2 linked regions of the Rhinolophus ferrumequinum genome follow. The protein of the gene in region 1 purifies or fractionates together with the protein of each later gene. This does not show direct contact. Links are inferred from orthologs where the notes say so. Each region holds a gene or a part of one and is shown on either strand. Other genes may lie near its edges.

Region 1 (9,876 bases):
ATTATTCTCAGATTAAAATAATAAAGCAACAGGAAGGATGCAGAAAGCAAATTCGGTCACCTCAAAATGCCTATGATTCAAACTGTCTATTGGGGGAGGGAAAATAAAACTTAAGGGTCAGTTAAGGGGAGTTCAAAGCCATTGCTTCATAAATATGTGTCGACTGCTGTGCACATGCATGCTTTCTTTTTTTAAACAGGCACTTTTATTATAAAGAAGTTTTACTGTTACGAATATTTTCTATTTAAGGTATAATGCTTAAAAACTATCAAAGCAGTGCTTTATAATCACTTAGCCATAACCTGGCAGGTAGAGACACAATATGAGTTGAACACATGGTTCTATACTGTCGCAGCTCAATCCTAGCTCAGCACTTAAGCTAACTATATGACCAGTTATTTTTCCCTCAACTATGAAATGTGGCTATTCATATGTCATGTGGAATATTTCAAGAATTAAAACGAATTAATATATGTAGTGCTGGAACATAGTAAATGACCAATACATATTGCTTATCATTCAAGGTTTTGAAAAATTTACACCACCATGTTAAAATTCCACATGGAACAACAGAAACTAAATTACTGCTAATTAAAATGTAAACTGGTCATCAAAATCAAAATCAGAATATTTAAAATAAGTACTGCTTTGTATCTGGCAATCTCATTCCCAGGAACTTCTCTTAAGACTATAAATATGCAAATATGTACACATACGATGTTCACCACTTTTCATTTATAAAACAATGAAGACTGGGACACTACCAAAGCATCACTGAACAGGAAATTGGTTGTTACAATAGCCCTTTATTAGTGGAATACTATACAGCCAATGAAAAGGATGTGTTATCTATTCTACAGTTTATTACATATTTAAGTGACTAAAAATCAAAGCAGAAAACACACTGAAAAATCCCACTGATATTACATACCGTATTTCCCCGAATGTTAAGACTAGCCAGACAATCAGCTCTAAAGTGTCTTTTGGAGCAAAAATTAGTATAAGACCCGGTCTTATATAAGTAAATTAGTAAATTGCAGCTTGTACTTTACCTGGTCTTTACTATTATAAGACTATAAGTCTTATACTATTTTAAGTCTTTATAAGTCTTTACTATTTTACTATAAGTCTTATAGTAAAATAAGACCGGGTCTCATATTAATTTTTGCTCGAAAAGACACATTAGAGCTGATTGTCCAGCTAGGTCTTATTTTCGGGGAAACACGGTATTATAGTTCATTATGTATGAATAAATATTCAAAAACCTTTAAAAAAGTTCATCAAAGGATTAAAGATAGGGATGAAAATTTCATGGAAATTTTTTGCCTTTTGGTTATATCTTCATGTATATGGACATTCTTGTGTTCCCCAGGGCAAGTTACTTAACCTCACCTATATCACAGGAATTGTAGTGAAAATGTGCTTATACATATAAAGCACCTAAATAGTTTCGGGAACATAGTTACATACAGTGGTACCTAGGTTTTTGAGCATTTCAGAACTCGGTCGTCCGGAACGGATTACGTTTGAAAACGGAGGTACCACTATATTTTACATGTTATTGTATCAGTGTATTTGTTTTACATTTCCACAATTAACAGGAAAAGTACTTATCAGGAATTAATCAGAAACTAAGACCAAAGTGAAAAATGTTCTATTTTCAAAAAGTTTTTTCCACACTTCAATAAGTAGTTGTCTTCTGCATAATTTAATATAGAAATTTTTGTGGGATGATGGAAAAGGAATACCATCAGTTTGCAACAGAAACCTTCAACTTCTCCACCTGACCCCAAAACTAAAATATACCAGGAGTAAATAAAACTATACATAGTGTGGGAACTTGAAACTGAGTGAAATCTCCCACTAAATTATTTTCCGTTCTCAGTATTGGGGAAATGGTACAGCCATGTTTGGCAATGAAGTTCACAAGACAAGCCTACCCTCTCAAATAAAGCCACTTGCTAACTGTCAAGGCTTAAAAAAACTGCAAAACAGCATGTCTGTGAAAAGAGACTTTCAAGTTATAAAATATGGGGGGGAGCAGGGGGAACCCAAGCACTAAAACGTTGTAAGCTCAGTTAAAGAAAATTAGTTCTGAGAAATGACATTCAGATGACACAGAAATGAGTATATAAATGTCCCCCCAGAATTATCTCAGAACTTGGGCTTTATTACAGGTAGATGTCAGACATAGAAAGTCCACATTTTTTACTAAGGGTATCAGTTTTGCAAGAGAAAGGGAACCCATGGGACCACTAATCCCAAGAAAAGTATTTAAATGTTGCACACCCACAAATATGAATAAATGAATTCATTCCCTCCTAGTGTACTTTGTTTCAATCTGAACTCTTATGAGAGAAGTCAGATGACGTCTTGCATTTTACCCAGATGACAAGCAATTTATCTTTGCTTCACAGGAACCAAGAGTCCCCTACTTTAGTGACCCATAAATGTCATTAAATTAGGTTGTCATGACTCTTAAATACAGTCATAGTCTGTAGTGTAATAGAAAAAGCAAGAAGCTAAGAGTGCAAATGAAAAGATCAAGGTTCTAAATCCAGCTGTGAACTGGGTTAAGGTTGCACAAGCCACCTTAACAACTCTGGGTCTTCCTTTCTCATCCCTTCAGTGGAGCTGATTATACTCTCTTTTAAAGTCACTTGCAACTCTAAACAGTCTGAGGCAAGGAGTTCTAAATGTGCTAAAGTTTTGCTGAGGGTGTGGGGAGGGAGGGAAGAGGAGACAACCTAAAAAGAGAGAAAACTAAAGTCTAACATTGTAAACTAAAAATTTTACAAGATTAAAACATTACCTATTTCTGCTTTCCATATTCACTATATGGGAAGGGATCAAAAAGTACACCCTATCCTGGTTTATACACTCACTAGACAGATACCTGGAAACCAATGCAAATGCACTTTGGGTGAAAAAAAAATTCACAAAAGTTATAAAGATGATTTGGCACCGTGATTCTGAACACGTGCACACAATAAAACGGTAAAAATACCTGAATTATCCGAGTAAAACACTGTACTTCAGGAATGAAAACACACTGGACAAGAAATGATTTTGATGCAATTGCTGAAGTCTATTCATCTGTATCTTTAATGAACGTTAAGGGAAAGGAATCTGAGACACCACCACTCCATTTCAACTCTCAACCTCCCCACGTGCGATATTTTGCCATCAATGCTAAAAATTTTTTTTTGAAAAGGGTCTTCTTGTTGCAAAAACTAGTTATGCAGGAAGGCGGGAGGACAGAAATCAAGAATTTATTGGAAAAGAAATAATGCCTTTTAATTCCTATCCCAGGAATGCCCAATACCCAGTTTTAGCCAAAGCAGGAAATAAAGGAGATGGCGGGAGCATAAGCAGAGAGCGGAAGTTTGCCTAGTATCTACTTTGAAGTCTTTGAATGGACCGAGGCACGCGCTCTCCCGCGAAAGTATAAACTCAGTGGCTCCATACGACCAGCCTTCCTGCCCATCAGGTATATTCCACGTTTTCCTTTCTCCCGGCAGGCCTTCTATTCTCCCTTCCCCCGGCAACTCCTCGTCTGCACGCTTCATTCAACTCCCGCTACCCCCATCCCAGTCAAAAAGAAGAATCCACGCGTTTCTCTCACTTTCCGCCCTCCTCCTTTCCCCTAGGTGGGCACCCACCCGCCCCCAAGGCCCTCTCCGCGGCCCCTCAGCCTGGTAAGTACCTGGTGCCCTTGGAAGCGAATACTCCCGCCGCGCCCTCCCCCATCCCCTCCCCCGGTTCCAGGCCTTACCCGGGAACCCAGGCCACGAGGTCCGCGGTTTCCTCCCGCCCGCTCCCCTCCAAGTGACTCGTTTGGCAGGGTCCGGGGAGGCGCCCTCGTGGCCACGACAGGCCTCTCCACCCTTCCGACTGGGCCCGGCGGCGGCCGCGCAACACCTCTCCCCGCGCCCTTGCCCAGCCGAACCCCGGGAGTGGCGCCGCTCGCTCAACCCGCCAATGAACCCAGCCTAAAGAGAAACAAAAGGCCGGGCTCCAGGCCCCGCTTGGCCAGGCCGGCCTTGGTCCGCTTCCCGCCGGGACCCCAACAAAGCCCGAGCCTCTGCCTCGCGCCCCGGGCCTGGCTTACCCATCGGTCCCCGCACGCTTCTTGCCGGAGTAATCCTCCCCCAGATCCAACCGGTGCCGCTTGGACATCTTCGGACTCTTCGAGCGGGCGGTTATGAAGGAAGAAAAAAAGAAAAACTGGCGGCCTAATCAGCGCAGTCGACAACAGCTACTTAACTCTGGAGGACCCCCACCCCTCCCGCACCACAGCCTACACGGCGCGGCCGGAACCAGGAGCTAAAATGGCGGCGGCGACGAGGGCTGGGCCGGCGTGCGCGCTCCCGCAGCGTGCTGTGCGTGCGTGGTGAGCGCGCACGCATCGGAGGCGGGAACTCCAGATCCGCCCAATTTCCTTCCCGCCGGCCTCCGCTCTCTTCCTGGTACCAGCTTTAGGCCGTTCGAGCGGCTGCTAAGTCGGCTGTCCCCGCGTAGCCTTCACGCCCCTGTCTGATGTGAAGAAATTGAGAGAGGTGAAAGATCAGTTCTAGGTAGGAAATCCTGTCCATTTGTATTGCCCTGGCATTAGGGGAGTCTGAGACCCAGGGAGTTTGAGAAACCCAGATCATATGGCTGATACCGGGCAGAGCCAGGATTGGAACCTATGGTAACTATTTTGTAACTCCAGTTCTAGAACTTGAAGCCACTAACCACTCAGTGTCAGTGAAGAAACTGAAGTGAGAAAAATGTCAAAACTTGCCATAATCCATTTTGCCCTTTTCTCTCTCTCTTTTTTTTTAACCTAGTATGGACTGTATGTTCTCAACCTATTGATGTTTTTTTTTTAATGTGGAATAGAGAAAATTGCTGACAGTAAGGACATAATTAGCTTTTTGTTTTCCTGTGTGCCTGTTATGAACTTGTGGTAACCCTACCTCTACCCTTATTCTTACAGTCACCCTGGCAAGGTAGGTGTCATTTTATAGATGTGGACCCTAAGGCAGAGGGAAGTTAAGAAGTCACACAGCCATTAGTGCTGTCCCTAAAGTCATAGACAATCGTTAAGGTAAGATGACTCTTAGCACTTTAATGGATCTCTCCCCCAGACTATCTGCTTACTCAGTTGCATTCATTCCCAGAAGAAATACATAAAAGAAAGATCTGTGGACCAACCGAAGCTGGGTGATCTATGTAGTTCATGAAATGGATGTTTGGATGCCCTGGAAGACCATAACCAGGTTCTTATCAAATCCTCAGAACTGCAACCGCTAAGGTTAAATACAACCTTAATACTGCAACTGATAAAGAGGGTTTTTATTTTTGTACCTAATCCACATTACAAAATCAGTACAAAGAAAGGCGAATATCTTCATTTATAAAATTTTCTGTACAACTTTTACCCTAAATGTATGTTACCGTGTTTCCCCGAAAAAAAGACCTAACCGGAAAATAAGCCCTAGCATGATTTTTCAGGATGACATCCCCTGAACATAAGCCCTAATGCGTCTTTTGGAGCAAAAATTAATATAAGACCCGGTCTTATTTTAAGGGAAACACGGTAGCAGTATATTGACTTGTCAGGGGTCATGTTGCATAATCACTGAATTGTAAACCTGGAAAAGAGTTTCCAGCTGATTTTCCCTTCTTAGCTCATATTACAAATGAGCCCCTAGGTCATGCCCACGTTCACACAGGCAATTGGTGTCAAAGTCAGAATTAAAATCCAGATTTCACTCTTCACTACTCCAGTCCCAGATATCTAGGTTCCCAGTTTGAGGGCAACTATAAAGTACTCCAAAATTTTGGAGAAAAAAATGAGGGAAAAGGTTAGAATTCCACCTGAAGAAGTGCTCTACCCTTAGAGGCATCAGCCTCTCATAAATGTGCAAGGAGACTTGGTAAAGGAGGAACCGAAGTCAAGATGAAGAGACTTTCTCCTTGGGCTTAGCGTATATCCCTAGAAAACTGTAACCTAACCAATTGTGTTGTAACTGAAGTGGCCATATTTACCAAAGGATAGAGACCCTTCTGGAATCTGTAAGGGGAACAACGGGCCAGAATCTGCCAGGATGTTCACTCTCTCTGAGGAAGGGCAAAGTTCTGGGTCTAAATGATCCATTCTAGATTTTCAGAGCAAATGGTCCCTGGAATAAAGAAGAGCCATCTACCAGCCCCCGTACAGCCTCAGAGCCCAGTTTTTTCCCCTAAGCCTACTTTCATCTTTTTCCTTTCACTGGTGTTGATCCTAAATACTCCTTAATAAACTTCCTGTGCACTAGTCCTTGCTTCGAAGTCTACTTTTCATGGAACCCAACCAAAAAGATTTGGTGCTAGGAATGGCCCAAGAAAGCAGAGTCTATGATTGGATTTTGGACCTGGCCACCCATTGGTGGCCGGCAATGACTTAGTGATGGCAGGTAGAACATAGTTACCACTATGTAGAACATAGTTACCACATAGTTGCCAATTGCAGGGCAATTGTTAAAATTTCACCCCCCGTGGTGTACTGGGAAAGACCATGCACTGTTTTCAAAGTATGGAGGAAATAATAACTATAAGAACATCGGAATTTGATTGACTGTTGCTAAGTGGACTTGATACTTTGGAGAGAGATAATGAAAGGCTGAGAGTAATTAATCTGCAATTCAAAATTAAGTGGGAAAGCTAGAAGACCTTCTGGGAGCAAATAAACAGATTCTCATCTCCTGCAGTGGAAAGACAAAGAAAAATGATGACCAATCCCAGGACTTAAATATAACAGTTTCATAAGGCCAAGTGGAAACTTACAATGAAGATTAAATTCTCCACTTAGACAGGCATGATACGTCAAGGTTAGGGCCCTCATTGAGAAAGGGTGCACCTCTGACACCTGGGAGTGGGATATTTAGGTTGATAGACCTGAAAAATCTTGAATTCCTAAATTCCCTTCAACCTGGTGAGCTTGTCAAAATGCCCTGCTCTTCCCTATTAAAAGCTAATTCTCCTTCCTTGTGAGATGATCAGAAGCCTACTCTCTGAGACATAATATGCACCTCCCTCAAGATATACCCCTACTTACCCTGCTGACCAGTAGGCAAAAATTAGGGTTAAGTCACAACATAGAATATTCCAGGGACATCCTAGGGCTGATAGTATTGGAAAATGACTCCAAAGAAGCTGTAGGATCTAACCATCAGGTACCAGCAGGAGCCAAGAAAGTATGCATGGGATGGAATTCTGAAGGTTCTGGATAAAGAAGGGAGGAGGGAGGTGGAACATAAAGTTAAATAAGGGAAATTTTATCAATCTGGAAGTACTTTTCCAGGATACAGGATTTAACATACACAAGAACTCCAGGCAATGGTGTAAACACACTTAGGATGTCATCTAGAAGCGTGGAAAAAGCAATGCCACAGTCACCAAGAAAGGCAGAAGTGCCAGAACTGCTGTGCATCACAGTGTAAAAGGGGGTTAAATAGCTGAAAGAAGTGAATGTGTTAGAGTGAAAATACTTACACAAAGGTGGAAAACCCAGCAGAGGAATATATTCCACAGGAAAGTTCAGAAGACATACCACTTACTGAATCCATAAAGAATTTTCTGGTGAGGGAGGCATCAACATCATTCAGAAATTCAGTGGTGGTTCTCTCTATAGTTCAGAGATGAAGGTAGAAGATGCCATTTCAGACCTGAGCTCCCTGAGAGTAGTAAAGATGAAAGGGGCCTGTAACAGAAGTAACACGGTGGCATTTCAACATCAGAAGCCAGGTGGATGCTACAAGGTAGTAGAGATGGTAAATAGGACAAGGTATCTAGAGCAAAATAGATGGGCAATCATCAAAGGATGTCCTCAATCTGAACAACCAAAATAAATCAAGAATGGATGATCAAAAGATTGAGGGCAGTTGCCCCAGTGAAAACTTGCCCAGTTTCTAGACTTGCGCCATGTCAAAAACCAAACTCTGCACACTGAGTACAACAAAGCAGAAAGATGAGTTCATTGCAAGGGTTTTGACCTATAAGCTGGGAAACCCAAGGCTACTGGAGCAATGAGTTCTGAGTTGCTCACAGACTAGTAAAAGGTTTTTATGGCGGCAAATGCAGAAGTTATTTGGTTTTTTAGTTGATTGGTTACCCAGTGGTCTCCTGCCTTATTTGGATCAGGTTAGCTGAGTCAGAGGAACATGAAAGTCCAAAGATGCATGAACAGACTTGACAGTGGAAATTGGCTGAAGTCCTCTGCTTATTTCTGAAAAGAACTGTAAATTCCTGCAACTTAGGTAAGGTTAAGTTTTGTTTTTCTTTAATGAACCCACATTAGCCAACTGCATTTTGTCCCCAACATAAGTGACTTAATTTTAGTTTTGGTTCTACGACCAGTTTTGGGACCTGGAGTACATTGATTAAGGTAACTGCCATGTCCCTAGGAGCAAGGACTACAACACGTAACATCACTGTGTGCACAGTAATAATTCTCCAAGTCCTTTCTCCAAGTGATCTATAGCCATTCTTTTAGGTAACCATACACTGGGGGAAAGAGAATATTCAAACATTTCAAGGACAATTGGATACGGAATCTGAACTGACATTGATACTGATAGACTCAAAGTGTCGTTATGGGCTCCCTGTTAGAGTGGGGGCCAATGGGAGTGTCTAACGAAGATCTGGTTCAGGTCCAGCTCATAGTAGTTTCCCTGGGTTCTCAAACCCACCCACTTGTCATGTCCCCAATCTATAAATGTACACTTAGAATAGACACTCTTAGTAGTTGGCACAACCCTCATGTTGAATTCTTGGCCTGCAAGAGGTAAGAACTATCATAGTAGGAAATGCCAAGTAGAAGCTTATGAAACTGTCCCCCTCTCCACTCCAGCCAAGATACTAAATAAAAAACCTGGGGAGGAGTTTCTGCTTATACCTCCAAGCATGTCAAGTTTAGAAATTATCACTTCCATTCTTAGAAGAAAAAGCTGGACAAACTGAAAACTAATGGCTTTTCTTGGAGCCCTTAGAAAACTGAGTTTGCAGGGTAGGCTCTCACCCTGAAGTCTGGAGAGACAGGCAAGTTCAAAGAGTGACAGCAAACATTTGCTTACCTGGAGCAAACCCGCTGGATCCATAAGCTGGTTGGAATACTCAAATGGTATCTTGACCAATCTAAAGCTGAGTCTGGACTACCTAGAGAGTGAGAAACTCCTGTGGGCCTCAGTTGTGAGGGGTGCGGGGGCTCCCTCATTCTTACGGATTTTACCTCCAGGATACCACCAAGTTTTCCCAATAAAATGCCAAGAAAGACATGCTTGTGGCTCTGGGAGAGAGAAGGGAATATGCCCAGTTCATTCTCCATAATAGGGGCTGGTTTTCGACGAGAAGAGACTACCAGATCCTGTCCTACCTGGGCATTTCTCCCACTCTAGCCCCTTCTAGCCTTCTTGTCTCACCTAAGGGAGAAAAAAAGCTGAGCTTGTAAAGGTCACAGCTCAGGAACACAGGCCCATTAAAAGACTGAGCTTCAATCATAAAATTGTAGAATACTTTCCCTCCTTACTCCTTACCACTACACCGACAGGCATCCAGTATAATAACAGTGGGTTACAGCTGAAAAAGAGCTGCAAGATGCAGGCTCCAACTGAGGAAGAATTCCTAGGGAAGCCCATCCTCAATAAGGGAGACTAAACAAGGACACCAGAGGAATTTAAAACCTCTTGCACCTACAGCTACAGCGAACACCAAACAGCCCAACTTCTAGCCGGATTAACATAAAACCTCATACTAAAGGCCTACGGTTGACTTTAGTTCCTATTACCGAATATATTCTGCAGGCTTTCAACAAAAAATTACAAGGCATGCCAAAAAAACAAAAACAAAAAA
Region 2 (9,042 bases), on another chromosome or scaffold:
ATTGGCATGAATCACCAAATATAGTACATTGGTTCTGTACCAGATTGTGGGTTTGAATCTTAGCTCTACCTCTTAGCAGCTGTCTGAACTTGGGCATGTTATGTAATGGAAATGAGCAGTCAATTTTGGCAGTCTGACAATCATTAGTAATGACTTACTTGCCCCATACTTCACGAGAATTTGTTGTGCTATCAATAATTAAGATCACTGGTATAGAAAATACTGTGTTAGAAATAGAGTTCTTAAATAAAAATCACAAAATTACCAACCTATTGATGAAAATTCTTCTTCTAGAGAGCTAGAGCTATCGGAAGATGAACTCTGATCATCCTTACTTTCTGAGGAATGATGTGTTCCGTTCTCTTCATCTGTTGAAAGATCAACTGTTCCGGATTCTAACAGGACATTTTTTAAATATAACAAAAAAGAGTCAAGATATTGAAATTAATAATTATGAGCAACATATGGCATATGTATAAGATGGTGTTTTAATTTTACTCCACAAGCTTAAAGTAGATATATAGCTCTTTTTCCGACTTTCATTCTTTCTGAAACCAAAGGATGGTCTGAAAAATGTACAGTTTCCCCATTTGTACTATCTGCTTATTTAGTACAATAAGTCCTTTAAAGGATGCACTGAGGAGGGGGAAGGGAACATTAGAGAAAAAGTGAAGGAATATTTAAAATAAGAAAAGAAAAATAGTTGTAGTGAATAAGTAGAAAAAGAAAAAATACTAATGCACACTTAATATGTTAGGCACATTGAAATCCTGTTTTACAAGGTTTATTTAGTTTAATATTCACAATTCTATAAAGTAAATACTATTACTGAGGAGGATTAGTGTCCTTATCAGGATTGGAGAGGCTAAATAACATGTCTAGTGTCACAAAGTAAGTGGAGAAGTAGGGCTTTCAACCAAATTTCATCCAACTCTGAATTTACACTTTCTTTATGCATTTTATGTCATATTTCAGTGGCTGGTGGCAAGAACTACTGTAATGAGCATTATAGTCTCAAGTTAAATCATGTATCTATTTCCATTGTGTGATTTTGGGAAGGACACTTAATCTGTCAATTAATCTATTAAACAAAGATAACAATAAGAGATAATACCCATAGGGATGTTGTGAGAATTGAATGAACAAAATGTTAAGGAATTCATGGTTATTATTGACAACAAAGGATTTGTTAGTTCACAATTATTTTGTAATTTTTATGAATAACCTTACAATTTAAGATTACATAAATAATACTCTTTGTCTTAAAACTTTCCTTAAGTGGAAGACCTACATACAGCCCGAAAAAGTCTTTAGATCAAAACTTAAAAGACAAAGGAACATAGCTGCAGCTTACATCTTTCAAGTTGCTGCTATTTATGTTAACTCCTACCTGTTCTCAAAATGGATTAACTCCAGAGAAGAGGTTTTCAGAGTATGGTCCATCAACCCTTGGAGGTCTCTGTGACCTCTCAGAGGGTCTGTGAAGTCAAAATTCTTTTCATCATTATACTAACATTTTTTTTTTTTTTTGCCCCGTTTACTCTGTTGATATTTACATAATGAAGTAGAAGCACTGGTGAGTAAAACTGCAGGCCTCTTAATATGAATCAAGACAGTGACACCAATATGTGGTAGCAACCACCGTATTTCTTCAACCATACATTGATGGGGAAAAAAGCCAGTTTCGCTTATGGTCCTCACTAAAGCAATAAAAACTGTTAATTTGATTAACTCTTGACCCTAGAATATGCATCTTTTTAATAATTTGTGGAACAAAATGGAAGCGTGCACAAAGCACTTCTGGGACGTACTGAAATGCAATGGTCGCCTCAAGGAAAAGCACCTGTGTAGTCTGCAAGTTGAACTAGCCACTGTCTTTGAGGAGGAACACCATTTCACTTGAAACGAATGACAAACTAGTTATTTGACGTGGATATATCTAACAAACATTTTTTTCAAAAGTGAGCAAAGTTGTGCCTATCACTTTAAGAATTAGAGATTTCAAGTGAAAACTGGAATTTCGGAAAACTTATGTTCTCCACTGTGAACTTGATAAATTTCCAATACTTAAAGACTGATGACATCAGTAAGAGGTTTTTGGGGTCTTTTTTTTGATATTGGATAATAAAGTATACCAACATTTGCAAGACCTGAAAACTCAGTGAACCAATACTTTTTGAACAGTCAAAGCATGATGTTACCAACCACGCATAGGGAAAAGATCCATTCAAAATATACAGCAGAACAGTGGATTTTAATAAAAGCAATGCCACTCTTACTGTTTTTTGGAAAACAGTTATTTTTCACAAAAATATGTTCCTTATCCTTATGTGTAATGAGGTAATTAAAAATGAATTATTAAACATGTATCTTAATTTTTAAATATGGTACATATTGATAGATATAATCCACTGAAACAAAAGATCATTAGGATCGTTAGTCATTTTTAGGAGTATAAAGGAAGTAGTAAGACCAAAAGGTTTGAGAACCACTTTAGAAGGCAAGAGAAAAGGCAACTCCTGGTCTCAATTCTCCCTATTAAAGTTTAATCAGATAACTTACAAAAAATAGAACAATATAAAAAGTTATCCGAAATTTAGACAAAACTAAGAAATCACTGAGAATCGTGGACTATAAATAGTGGGGAGAAAAATTTTAACCTTAAGACTAACCGAAAACTGCGTTTTTATAGAACACATTCAATGCAAACAACTTATGCTGCTTGAATCCTACATTTAAGGACGCAAAGATAGTTAACAATTACTACACTGTATTTAACGCCATTATTGGTACGGTCGACAGCGTCATCAATCTTTTGTTACTTAACTGACATGTACTGTTATTTTTCTTATCTGTTTTCGCAAATAACAGATGAAAAGGAAAATAGGCACAAGAAAATGTCTCAAAAGCCCGTCACCTACGTTCTTCTAACGTATTATTCCGGCTAAGTGTTTCCTAGAAAAATAATTGGGGACAGTTCCAAAAGGTACGTGTACCTGTCTTCTACCTAAGAGTCTTACAAATTTTAACTCTTTTGTGGCGATTTAACATAATCAAATACTGCACTAAAGCTGTAATTGGTGGTGGTCCATCTGATGGCGCAAACCCAGACGAGCCCGCAAACGTACAGCATTCTTACTACTGCCCCAGCGTCCTATGTGGAGATGCGGACAGCGGGCGCGGGCTCGCAGGCAGGCTGTCATGCTATTTCCGCGAATCAGCCTTGCTTCGGTCAGCACCACGTTATAGAAACCTCTAGAGAAACCCGCCGGCCTCTTCCCGCCCCCTCAGCTCGTCGCTTTGGGCGCCCACCCGCCGATCCGCGTCACCTGGGACGTCCGAGCCACCGTCCGCGCGAAGAGCCGCTCTCGTAGCGCGCCGAGAACTCGCCCAGACCCGGCCGCGGCCCCGGCCCGGGCCCCGGCCTCGAGGGACCCGGACTCGATGGGCCCGTTCCGCTGCCTCTGTGCGGCCTCCTCCCGGGGGCGGCCCGTCCTCCGCAGGGCCCGGGGCTGCCTGCTCCCCGGGTTCAGCAGATGGCTCCTCTGCGCCGTCGCTGTCACTAGAGTCGGCTCGGCGCTGTCGGAAAGTCCTTTTCGGCCTGTGAGCCATGGCAGAGGTCCAGATGCCTTCAGCGGGTTCTTTTCCGGCCCACGCCAACCCAGGTCAACGACGTCCACTCAGGCGCGCGCTCCTCCCTTCCTCCGGACCGACGCGTGCGCGCGCCCGTCCAGTGCACCGTCGACTCACGCTTCACCCTGCGCATGCGTGCTTTGCCTCCTCGGCTCTGCTACACCGAGATAGGTTCACTGCGCGCGGGTCTAAGGATGCAAAGTGTTTTATTTGCGTGGCCAGCTTGTACAGAAGATCGTTCAGCGATTCCCGCAGACCTCTCGTACTGCCTGCTATGGACAGCATCACTCACAGGCTCTCGTTGTGCAAACCCTATCTGGGGAGTCGCGATGCCCGCGTCCTGGACTGGAAGCGGATCACCTGTTTTCTCCTTTATGGAGAGAGCAAAGTTTTTTCTCCAACCAAGAATTAAAACAAACAAACAAAAAGGAGTGTGTGTGTGTGTGTGTGTGTGTGTGTTGCTTCTGAGAGCTAAACAGTAAAATCTACGCATAGATAATAGGCGCACAAATAAGGAAAACAAACAAACAAAAAAATCAAATGATAGCTTCCAGGCTTCAACAGAACCTGGTTAAATGCTTTGGTCCTCAAAAAATATTGCATCTGGAAAAAAGGGGGTGCTATTTAGAAAGACACTCAGATAAAAAGGACGGCTAAAGCAAACTTGGACTATGTCCATTAAGCACTGTCGAGGTTTGGGGGGAGGGAGGGAGGGAGAGAGAGAGAGAGAGAGAGAGAGAGAGAGAGAGAGAGAGAGAGAGAGAGAGCCTTCACCGTGGACTCTGAATTGTTGGTTCCCTTGGTAAAACCCATTCTTGCTTGGGTGCCTCTGAACATATCCATTTGGGGCAAATAAACATTCAGTTCATTTAATTCCTCTTGCTGGGGTCTGCTGTATGTGTTACGTTTCGTTCACTGCTTTAAATTTCAAGAAGACTTTCCCAGAGGTTCATAGAAAGGATTATTTTAAGGGATAAATTTCCAGATACTTGACTCAGAAAGGGAGACGTTTATTTAAGTGTGATGTTGACATTCCAGGAGGCTGTCCTTTCCCCTCAACTGTCACCAATTCACAAACTGTGTCCAACTGAAATGTGACTTCATTGTTTTCAGCTAGGTTCAAAGCCTTCAGCTGATGTGGGCTACTTGCTTACTTCCTCATTTTAAACTACACTGCCTCCACAGGTAGGGCTCCACAGGTGGGGCCCTCCACAGGTAGGGCCCTTACTCACCTTGATACGCCCATACTTAGTGTAGATCCTAACTCAGAGTATTCATGGAATGAACATGAATTCAGTGAACTAAATGTGTGGATGAGGCGATTCTGAAACCCGAAAACAAATCCCTCTGTTTAACATGTTGGATGCAAATATGTTAGCTGACAGGTGATGTACTACTGAGACAGAAAGAAAAACTTATTTAAAACATAAACCAAATATTTGTTCTAATGTAGAGAAGTGAGATAAGTGGTTTTCTCTGGGTATGGCCTGGATAGAAGAGGATGAAATAGACAGCATTTGTTTAATACAGGGAGGGAAACGCTGGATTTCCTCCTCTGACCCCAGGGAAAGCAGCGTAAAGGCTCCAGGGTAGAGTTGTTACATTTAGAAAAAAATATAGGGTATCTAATAAAATTTGAATTTCAGATAAACAAGGAATAATTTTTTTTAAAAGATTTTATTGGGGAAGGGGAACAGGACTTTATTAGAGAACAGTGTTTATTTCCAGGACTTTTTCCAAGTCAAGTTGTTTTCCTTTCAATCTTAGTTGTGGAGGGTGCCATTCAGCTTCAAGTTGTTGTCCTTTCAGTCTTAGTTGCAGGGGGCGCAGCCCACCATCCCTTGCAGGACTCCAGGACTTGAACCGGCTACCTTGTGGTGGAGAGCTCACTGGCCCATGTGGGAATCTAACCGGCAGCCTTCGGAGTTAGGAGCACGGAGCTCCAACCTCCCGAGCCACCGGGCCGGCCCAAAGAATAATTTTTTTACTATAAGTAAGTCACATCTAATATTTGGGACATACTTGTATAGAACATCTTGGAACCCTAATCTATGATGAAGAGAAATGTGGAAAAAATTTCAAGGTTAGAGTCTTGCAACCTGGGGCTGGTAGTGCTTCTGGAACCTGAGGAATAGTGCTGGTCAGTGAGAAGTTCCCATTTGCAGGGGGTAGGTGGAAAAGGAACTTTTAAGACATAGTGCTGTTTCCCCTCAAGCCTTTAGTAAAACTTTGCTTCACGCAGATTTGAGTTAACACTGCTGTTGGGAATAAAGGACTCATCAGCTGAGGTCACGATGGTGGCAGTACCTTTGTGATGAGGAAAGGTGATGGCTCTTCAATTTCTGAGGTGAGAGTGAGAGAAGAGATGTAGTGGATGACAGGAGAGAAGCAGGCTGCTGAGCACACTGGCTTAGGATTTGCTATGAGATAGTCCCTTTCCCCAACTTTAAAGGGGGTAAATGCTTCACAGAATTATGCATGGAGACAGGAAAAGAGCAGCCAGACAGCAAGAATTGTATTTCCCCAAATAGCCTTTCTGAGTACTTGTAATCATCACTACCTTATTTTATTTGCTCTTTCTCATGAATGCTAGTTATTTTCCCCCAAGAGGACAAAGACAATGACACATCTCTTATTAGACCTACACCATACTTATTTTAATACTAGCTTGTTAAATCAATTGACTTTCAGGACACTTTGCATTATTCACCTCTTATATAATTTAAAACTGCAGAGGTTAATAATTGAAGAAAATACGCATATGAAAAAAATTCCAACTTCTGGAAATAGATGTCATATTTACTCACAGACCAGTTTTCCCCTGAAGTGAAATGGACATTTTATTCAACTTCTCTTGCCTTTGATCCGTGAGTTTTGAGCTCCCTCTAGTGAGAAATATGTTACTTACAGAAGGATTGTGTCAATCTTTTGGAAATTGGCTTGTTATTAAAGAGCTATTTTTTCATTCTCTCTTGTTAGAAATAATGGTCTTATTTTCATTTTTAAGCCAACCTATGTCAAACTTTCTCAGAGGACAAAATTTTGGAAAGTCATGTTTATAATTAAACATGACTTAATTAAACATGATAAAGAAAGAATCATTCTTTCTTTTGGGAATTAAAAAAAATATTATGGAAATTCATCTAAAATATGGACTTAATTGTGCTTTCATTTTTACAGCATCTATTCTTTGTTTTTTTGAGCTCTTACTATGATGGGCAACTTGTGCTGGGACCAGGAGGTCCTGTTCCCAATGTTCGCATGCTATTAGCAAAGTTAGCCCTACAGGTTGGCTTATTGAAAATTAAAAAATTGTAGTAAAAACACTCAACATAATATTTACCCTCTTAACCAAATTTTAAGTGTACAGTGCAGTATTGTTAATTATAATGTTGTATAACAGATCTCTAGAACTTCTTCATTTTGTTTAACAGAATATTTATACCTGCTATACATCAACTCCCCATTACTCCTCCCCTAGCCCCTGGCAACCACCATTCTCCTTTCTGCTTCTATGAATTTGTCTATTTTAATACCTCATATAAGCAGAATCATGCAGTATTTGTCAGTCTGTGACTTAGTATAATGTCCTCAAAGTTCATACATGTTGTTGCATGTACCAGGCATTCCTTCTTTTCTAAGGCTGAATAATGTTTCATTGTATGTAAATAACACATTTTCTTTATCCATTTATTGAACAATGGGCATTTAGGTCATTCCGACATCTTGGCTATTGTCTTTTTTTATGATTTTTTATTACAATATAGCTAACATACAACGTTACACTAATTTCATGTGTACATCATAGTTATTCAACGGTACCCACCTAGCACTACACAGAGTTATTACTACATTATTGATTATATTCCCTATGCTAAAGAAATGATCACCATGGTAAGTCCAGGTGATTTGACACTATACCACGCTATCACAATATTATTGATCTTCCCCCCTTTTTAAAATTTTCAATTAGAGTTGACATTCAATGTTATTTTATATTAGTTTCAAGTGTATAGCTTAGTGGTTAGACATTTATGTAATTTAGGAAGTGATCCCCCTGACTAGTACCACTTGGCACTATACATAGTTAGTACCATATTATTGATTATATTGCCTATACTTTAAAACCCCATGACTATTTTGTAACTACCAAGTTGTATTTCTTATTCCCTTCAACTTTTTTACCCTCAGACACCCCTCCCATCTATCACCCTGATAGTCTAGTACCCATCTGACACCATACCTAGTTATTACAATATTATTGACTGTATTCCTTAAGCTATACCCTACAACTCCATGACTACTGCATAACAACAAGGTTGTACTTCTTAATCCCTTCCTCTTTTTCACCCACTCCCAACCCTCCTCCCATATGGCAACCATCAAAATGGTCTTTGTATCTATAAGTTTGTTTCTGTTTCATTTATTTATTTTGTTCTTTGGATTCCACTTATAAGTGAAATCACACATTTTTCTTTAGCTGTCTGACTTATTACACTCAGCACAGTAGCCTCTAGGTCCATCCATGTTGTTGTAGACAGATGCCAAGATTTCCTTCTTTTTTTTTTTATGGCTGAGTAATAATATTCCATTGTATATATGTACCACCTCTTTTTTATCCATTCATCCATTTAGGGACACCCAGGTTGCCTTCATAACTTGGTTTATGTAACTAATGCTGCAATGAACATATAAATGAACATGTCCCCTTGAAGTAACATTTTAGGTTTGTTTGGGTAAATACCCAGAAGTGGGATACTAGGTCCTTCTTTGTCTCTTGTTATAGACTTTGTTTTAAAGTCTATTTTTTGTCTGATAAAAATATTGCTGCCCCAGCTTTTGTTTGTCTGTTTCCATTTTCATGAAATATCTTTTTCCATCCCGTTACTTTCAGTCTCTGTGTGTCTTTTGATCTGAAGTGCGTCTCTTGTATGTAAGGTATGTTAAGGTCTTGTTTTCTTATACATTCAGCCCTCCTATCTTTTGATTGGAGCATTTAATCCATTTACTTTGAAAGTAATTGTTGACAAGTATGTAGTTATTGCCACATTAGTATTCATATTTTTTCATTTTGTTTTCATCTTAAAGTAGTCCCTCTAAGATTCCTTGTAATACTGGTTTGGTGGTGATGAACTCTTTAGCTTTTTCTTGTCTGGGAAGCTCTTTATTTGTCTTTCAATTCTAAATGATAGCTTTGCTGGGTAGAGTAATCTTGGTTGTAGGTCCTTTCTTTTCATCACTTTGAATATTTTCTGCCAATCCCTTCTGGCCTGCAAAGTTTCTGTTGAGAAATCAGCTGATAGTCTCATGGGGGCTCCCTTGTAGGTAGCTAACTACTTTTCTTTTGCTGCTTTTAAGATTCTGTCTTTGCATTTAACCTTTGGCATTTTAATTATGATGTGTCTTGGT

The links.
Region 2: the proteins of DHX15 (region 1) and GCFC2 purify together in Homo sapiens (co-immunoprecipitation; 3 studies listed by BioGRID and IntAct, with this or other methods). This does not show direct contact. The link is inferred for Rhinolophus ferrumequinum from reciprocal best matches to the Homo sapiens genes DHX15 and GCFC2.

The regions. Positions count from the first base shown.
Region 1 is NC_046288.1:71,715,777-71,725,652, reverse strand, and holds the start of DHX15 (ATP-dependent RNA helicase DHX15), read right to left. Parts: upstream 4,352-9,876; 5' UTR 4,180-4,351; coding exon 4,112-4,179; intron 1-4,111.
Region 2 is NC_046296.1:16,597,111-16,606,152, reverse strand, and holds the start of GCFC2 (intron Large complex component GCFC2), read right to left. Parts: upstream 3,779-9,042; 5' UTR 3,613-3,778; coding exon 3,330-3,612; intron 396-3,329; coding exon 270-395; intron 1-269.